2 linked regions of the Daphnia pulex genome follow. The protein of the gene in region 1 purifies or fractionates together with the protein of each later gene. This does not show direct contact. Links are inferred from orthologs where the notes say so. Each region holds a gene or a part of one and is shown in the gene's direction. Other genes may lie near its edges.

Region 1 (2,896 bases):
GAGCTCGACCATATAACTCCGACTTTTTCACGTTTCTCTAATCTGTTCATAGAAACTAAATAATACGCCGTGTTGTTATTAAAGTTTTTGGTAGACAATCAATGACCAAACAATAACACTGTTAATGAAAAAAAAAACGGAATTCTGTATTAAACGCACTTCAAAATTTGAAGTATTTTACACAGAAAACTATACATGTTAGGAAAATATCGTTGAAAGTATCCAGGTTCTTACAGAATTCAGTCAAGGACATGGGAAAGAGACAAGGAAGAATTCAAAAAGCTTTAAACAATGCTTCTAAATTATTTACAGAAAGCATTCTTGAGGCTTCTACAAATAGTCCAATTCTTCCGGAATTCCAAATGCTTTGTTTAATTGGTTATCTTCCATAAAAAACTTTGATTTGCACCAGGATTTGACGGCGAAAATATTATCTGTCCAACGGTTCGCAGCCTCCAAAGAAACCTGTGAGAGCAATTGCTATAATATACTATGAAAGAAACTGCCAACACAAGAAAGACTCACCTGAGATTCTGCTTTTAGTTTTTCAAGTTCATCAGGATCAAGTTCTTGGTATTCAATCAGACTTCTTTTCAATTCAGCGTTTTGTACTTGTGCTTCCTTTAACTTTTGTAATAATTCGTCTTTTGTATCATCATCCTGTTGTCCAACCTAAATTACGACAGTCAGTTAAGTCTAAGTGCACAAAAACAAAAAAGATAGAAAATTATCTAATGACGCCTCAACTTACTCTTTTTTCTGCCAACTTTGCTTCAACATCAACTCTCAACTTCTTCAGTTGTTGACTAGAATTTTCCAGTTGCACTAGTTTCTGTTTTTTTGCATTGATTGCCTTACTAGGAAAGGCCCAGAAATAAATTGATGTGCCAATTTTGTCTGTATCAACCATTCCATCATCCACCAAACTTTGAATCACATCTTTTACTGTTCCTTGTACAATTCCTTTTTCTTTTGGGGCAATTTTTTCTAATTCTTTAAGCTGGAAGAAGTCTTTCTTTTCATAAAAAATTTCCATCATGCCTTTACGTTTCTCCTCCAGGCTAAGTCCACGTTTTTTGGATGTCATTTTAATGTCAATATTTTAACTGTTTGACTTAATAGCTTCTTTTCCTCAAATTTATATTGTAATAAGACGAGACGACACGTTTTCTTGACGTTTAACTACTACTCTTTAACCAAGTGAATTTTAACTGAGAAATTCAAAAAATCTTGTGACGTTGCCAGTTGAGCCACCTTGAGAGGCATTCACAGATAATGCAATTTTTTTAAGTTTGATTCGTACGGACTTCGTATGGATTTTTTTTTATTTTTTCGATTCATTTTATTAGCAACGTGGAATTTTATTATTGAAACTGTGAATGATTGCAAATATTGTTTATGAAAATTTTGATCTGTCGATGTCGTCGCCGCACCATGGGTTTTTTCGGTTTCGAGTTCTGTCTGCTGTAAATTTCCGAAATCACATCGATCAAAACGTGAGCCCCCTTGAAATTTGACTGGAACAAAAATGACCAGGTAAATAAACTGAATGTTTTTGGGGAAGTAATTGGTAAAGCATTCCACACAGTGTTTTTAAAAACAAACTCTATTATAGCTTACCTTAAAGTCTTAACAAGCTGTATGTGTGACTGCCACTGAATATCCCGTTTTGCATGCCGATGACAATTACAAAGGATTATTTTATTTCAGGGCAACAATAGAACTGGGGGATGTCACACCTCACAACCTACAACAACTGAAACGATTGAATCAAGTGGTATTTCCAGTTTCCTACAACGACAAGTTCTATAAAGATATTCTAGAAGCAGGAGAATTGGCTAAGCTAGGTACCACATACTTGATTTTCCTTTTATTTCTCCTTACATTTATCACATTTTATTGTGCAGCATACTATAATGACATTGTGGTGGGAGCTGTATGCTGTAGGATCGATATTTTAGATGGATCAAGAAGATTGTACATCATGACCCTGGGATGCCTAGCTCCATACAGGAAAAGGGGTATTGGTGCCAAAATGTTGGAACATGTCCTAAACTACGTGGAAAAGGATGGGGATTTTCATAGCATTTTTCTGTAATTATATTTTATTATTGAGAAAAAAAAATATGTTTTTAAGACTTAACTTTTCAAAACAGCCATGTTCAAGTTAACAACCAAAGTGCAATTGACTTCTACAAGAAATTTGGCTTTGAAATTGTTGAAACAAAAGAACAATACTACAAGAGAATTGAGCCAGCTGATGCACATGTGCTGATGAAACTTTTAAGGCCACAAAGAAGTCTTAGTGAACCAGAAAAATGAATTATGATAGGTTAAGCTAAGGTAACTGATAATACAGAAATGATCATGTCACTTTACTAATAATTGTATTGAACTGAAATTACTACCATTCAATCTTACACATTTTACAGCTTAGCTCCCATAATTTGTTAATGATTGTGGAATTTGAGCTAGCTTTAAGTTGACTTTGATAAACCTTGCAGTCACGATAAAAAAGTCCCGTTTCATTTTCCGTTTCCTCTGATACTGCACAGTGGATCAGAGTTTGAACGCCCTAGTAACAATTCAATTTTAGGTATGTTTAACAATATTCTGTCGGCATGAAGTACTTACAATTCGAGCAGGCTTCATAAACCAAAATGCAATCGGTATAATGGCTATCCATGAATAAAATGGTACTGATGAATAGCGGAAAAGCTGTTTGGATTGCAAATTTTCATTATTAGACGTTTAGACGGTGTACGCAAATTTAAGCAATTATTTTGCATGTAACAAATAATAAAATCAGAACTTGCCTTAGTATAATTCCACCCTGGGCAAACCGTATAAACATTTACTCCGTGATTCTGTAATATGCAACAAAGTTAAATTTTGT
Region 2 (4,322 bases), on another chromosome or scaffold:
CTTTATTTTCTTTTTTAACTTCCCTTCTAGAACCGGCGGGTTTGAAATAATTGCGACCGAACAAACAGAAGGCGGCCAAAACAGGCAAAACAAGAAGTTTGCCCAGGATGAGAGACAACAGGATTCGTAGACATCAACAGGAACGAGCAGAAAATCAACAAGACAATCAAACCGATAATCCTCTACCTGTCGGTGACTCGCAACCCCAGCAGAAATTGGCCAGGGTACGCTTTTGTTTTTATACTCATCGTACAATTGTCTTACATCATTTGATTTTCTCTTTGTTTTTCTTGAATGACAGGTCGAAAAAGCCAGCAATCAAGTTTCTGCAGCCGTTGTAGAAATGAGTTTCTAACTATAACAAAACCAATTTGTTTGACTTTCCAAGTTTATTCGAGAACAGCTTGTATTCGTTGCACTTTCGATTGAAGAAAAATAACGATAAACAAGAGAGTTCGTTGAGCAGAACAATAATAACTCTCTCTCTCTCACCTGGTAGCGACGCGTACTACATAGGGTACACTACTACATTTCCTAAAGGTATTTGCGTGGGTGTCTCACGTTAGATTGCTTTAATTGATTTTATTCTACCAACCCTATATTTACTCGAGAAATTTACTTTTATGGTTGGATTGTGATTGACAGGCGGCAAAATGATGTGCTTTCCCAATCTCGCCCATGAGGCAAAAGCCGTGGTGTTCGTTTCGTGGTTGTTGGACGCCCACCAGGTGTAACGATTCAGGTACGCACTGTTATGCTTTGTTTTGATATTTTTTCTTCAAAACGTTATTTTGTATATTTTTCCCGTTTTGTTTATAGATTTGCACAAATATTTTGAAAAAGCGTTTCGAAAAATTGAAAAACAGACCATCAGAATATCAATAACTTCTATGTGCTGCATCGTCCTCATCGAATGCGGTGTCAACATTTTCTTTTTTATCGTAGGAAGGACCAAATTAATATTATAAGTAAAACATAGAGCCCTTAGCCGTGACAATTTTCACATATGTCCTTGTTATGAACTTTTTTCAGATGATAAAAACAAACAATCCATTACTCCCCTCCTCCCACAATTCAGGGGATTTCTTTAACTAAATGGGAAATCCCAACCGTGCAACAAAAGTTTGTTTTTATTTTCTTCTCTCTTTTTTATATTTGTCTACTGGAAGCTGTTAGTTAGTGGAATAGAAAGTCAAAATAATCGTTGAATTGAATACATTTTTTAAATCGTAATTAAATTGAATGCAAATTGCGTTGCTTGACAGATTGGAAATAGTAATCAGTAAATAATAGCTTAATGTTGTCCTTCCTTTTAGCATTTACTTAAGTGTTTTGCCTGAGGCTCTGCCCCAAAGGGTATTAGATCTACCGCTCATTTTGAAATTACGGGCAATTTTCGTTCTGGAGTATAGGATAGCAACAAAAAATTTACCCGTGAAGGTAAAACCGTTATAATAAACATTCAATTAGGGAACTTTATGTTTGAAACACGTAAAACCTGGCGGCTGACTAATTTGAGAAATTATGATTGTTTTCAGTTGTGCTTATCAAACGAACGATTGCTAACGGACAACGCCAACGACGTATTTAAGATTTTAAGGTACACCTATAAAATATTTCTCATAGATTAATATTGTCTAGAAGCTTTAGATATTTAATGGTATGTATTATATCATACTATTACTATTTATTAACATCTCAGTTCAATAGAAAGGGACTGTACAATGTGGGGGAAATTTACTAATAAAATGTTTGTTTGTTTTTCAGTAGTAAATGACACCTATTAATTGTGAGTGGGTACTTTCTTTAAGACTGATGTTGACTTGTTTGATTCTTAATAATCTTCTGTCAACATTCTTTCTCTATGAAGTCCTCATTCAAAATGGATGATGTCCATTGCAATTTTATTTGACAAGTAATTCGTAGTTACTCTAAGCAAGCAAAAAGATGTTCATGTTATGTTATGTTAATGTTGAACTTGAACGGATTAATATTTCATCAAGAAAAAATGATAGAAATGAACATTTTGACAGAGAAAAAGTGAGTGACAAGTCAACAATAACATATGAAGTGGAATGGTTTTCGTCTGCTGCCGTATCGATTATCGATATAGAATATTGTTTTGTTGATTTCATTTTACAAATGCACTAATGAGATAAATAATATCCCAATAATAATTTATAGTTTTTTTTTATTTTGTCTCTCCTTAAAATATTAGGACACATCACTCTGATTTGTCAAATAACGCGGTGTATACATCCGAATCCTGGAATACGGTGTTGAGCGACGGAAAGAAGGGGGTTCACCAATTTCGGCCATCTTTAGCGAAGTAAGCACGAGGCTTTTTCACGGTTAACCTGTGTCATCATCGGTTGAAAAGAAACCGGCATTTAATGGTTTTGGGAAACAAATTTTGATACTTCACTGCGAGAACAGGATATTCATCCTCATTAAAAAGATGCCTTCCAGTCAGCCTCTACCTCCCAAAGAAAATGCCCTGTTTAAAAGAATTCTGGTAGGGTGTTTATTTGGAGAAAAAAAAAATATGTTGTGCAAGCCCCAATTAATCGTTCGAAATATTGTGATTTACAGAAAAGTTACGAACAAAAGCAGTATAAAAATGGACTTAAGTTTGCCAAACAGATTCTCAGCAATCCAAAGTTTGCTGAACATGGAGGTACACTCTGGAGCTATTCATTTACTTTATGTTTATGTATTCTTATTATTTATTAACAATTTTTCTGTTTAGAAACCCTCTCAATGAAAGGTTTGACTCTCAATTGTATGGGAAGAAAGGAAGAGGCTTATGAACATGTTCGTAGAGGTCTCCGTAATGATCTCATGTCTCATGTCTGTTGGCATGTGTATGGGCTATTACAGAGATCAGATAAAAAATACGATGAAGCAATCAAATGCTACAGGAATGCATTGAAATGGGATAAGGACAATGTTCAAATTCTAAGAGACTTGTCACTACTTCAGATCCAGATGCGTGATCTTGAAGGATATAGAGTAAGTAATCAGTAATTTAACTATAATCCCTATTTTTATGTTTGTTACTTGTGAATTTTGAAAGGATACAAGGTATTCTCTATTGAGGCTACGACCTGGCCAACGAGCTTCTTGGATTGGATTTGCCATGGCTTACCATCTACTTCACGATTATGACAATGCTCTCCAAGTTTTAGACGATTTCAGAAAAACTCTTACCGTGAATACCCTTGAGTCAATTCATAACACATTCAAATCATGTTATTATTAATTTTTTTCTCAATATAGAAATCCAGCTATGACTATGAGCAGAGTGAGCTTTTACTCTACATGCATCAGGTTATGTTTGAAGGTGGTCTTTATCAGAAATCTTTGTCTCACCTTCAACAATTTGAAGACCAAATTTGTGATAAATTGAGTTTAATGGAAGCTCGAGGTACGTGGCTCATCGAAACCATAAAAACAAACAACACAGCAGACCGGCAATATATTAATGTCTCATATTTGATTTTTAGCACAACTCTACCTCAAGCTCGATCGCCAGAAAGATGCCGAAGAAGAATACCGTAAATTGCTAAAACGCAATCCGGATAACCGGCAGTATTACTTTGGATTAGAAGAAGCTCGTGGACTGACCAATGAAGATATAAAGCTGCAAATGTATGCCGAGCTTCGCGAGTCTTATCCACGAGCCATTTTGGCCCGAAGAATACCACTTAGTTATGCCAGTGGAGAAAAGTTTCGTAGTTTGGTAGACCAATATCTACGTCACGCACTGCACAAGGGCGCTCCTCCTCTATTTGTCGATTTACGTTCGCTGTACGCCCAACCAGGAAAAGCAGCCATTATCGAGGAGCTCTTACTCGGTTACATAGCTAGTTTAATTAAATGTGAACGATTCGACGAAAAAGGTTTGTCTACTATTTTCGATTCTTTGTTGAATTCTTATAGGTAATGTTGAATTAACTTGATTTTAGATGTGAAGGATGGTCCAGCAGAACCGGCATCAGCTATTTTATGGACTTACTATTATCTAGCCCAGCACTACGATTTTCATAAGGATTCCGCCAAAGCGTTGCATTATATTAATTTGGCCATTGATCACACTCCGACGTTGATCGAGCTCTATGTGACGAAAGGACGACTGTTTAAGGTTAGACTTGCCATTCTTTTTTTCTTTTAGTTGAATTAAATATCATTTACTATCATAGCATGCTGGAAACCCTATCGAAGCTTACCGCTGCTTAGATGAAGCCCAGTCTTTAGACACTGCCGATCGGTATATCAATTCAAAGTGCGCAAAATATATGTTGCGGGCAAATCTTATCCAA

What was found. The genes of interacting proteins can lie anywhere in the genome.
Region 2: the proteins of probable N-acetyltransferase san (region 1) and N-alpha-acetyltransferase 15, NatA auxiliary subunit-like purify together in Drosophila melanogaster (affinity purification with mass spectrometry, with the first as the bait; 3 studies listed by BioGRID). This does not show direct contact. The link is inferred for Daphnia pulex from reciprocal best matches to the Drosophila melanogaster genes san and Naa15-16.

Annotation. Positions count from the first base shown.
Region 1 is NC_060018.1:2,102,615-2,105,510, reverse strand, and holds probable N-acetyltransferase san, read left to right. Parts: upstream 1-1,388; 5' UTR 1,389-1,528; coding exon 1,529-1,536; intron 1,537-1,710; coding exon 1,711-1,847; intron 1,848-1,907; coding exon 1,908-2,094; intron 2,095-2,156; coding exon 2,157-2,322; 3' UTR 2,323-2,378; downstream 2,379-2,896. Other genes in the region: meiotic nuclear division protein 1 homolog, read right to left, coding at 331-465, 526-672, 752-1,087; retinol dehydrogenase 12-like, read right to left, coding at 2,405-2,575, 2,635-2,718, 2,817-2,867. UniProt on the Drosophila melanogaster protein: N-alpha-acetyltransferase that acetylates the N-terminus of proteins that retain their initiating methionine. Has a broad substrate specificity: able to acetylate the initiator methionine of most peptides.
Region 2 is NC_060019.1:10,600,627-10,604,948, reverse strand, and holds the start of N-alpha-acetyltransferase 15, NatA auxiliary subunit-like, read left to right. Parts: upstream 1-1,463; 5' UTR 1,464-1,600; intron 1,601-2,218; 5' UTR 2,219-2,458; coding exon 2,459-2,515; intron 2,516-2,592; coding exon 2,593-2,677; intron 2,678-2,749; coding exon 2,750-3,012; intron 3,013-3,076; coding exon 3,077-3,211; intron 3,212-3,279; coding exon 3,280-3,427; intron 3,428-3,506; coding exon 3,507-3,902; intron 3,903-3,968; coding exon 3,969-4,144; intron 4,145-4,202; coding exon 4,203-4,322.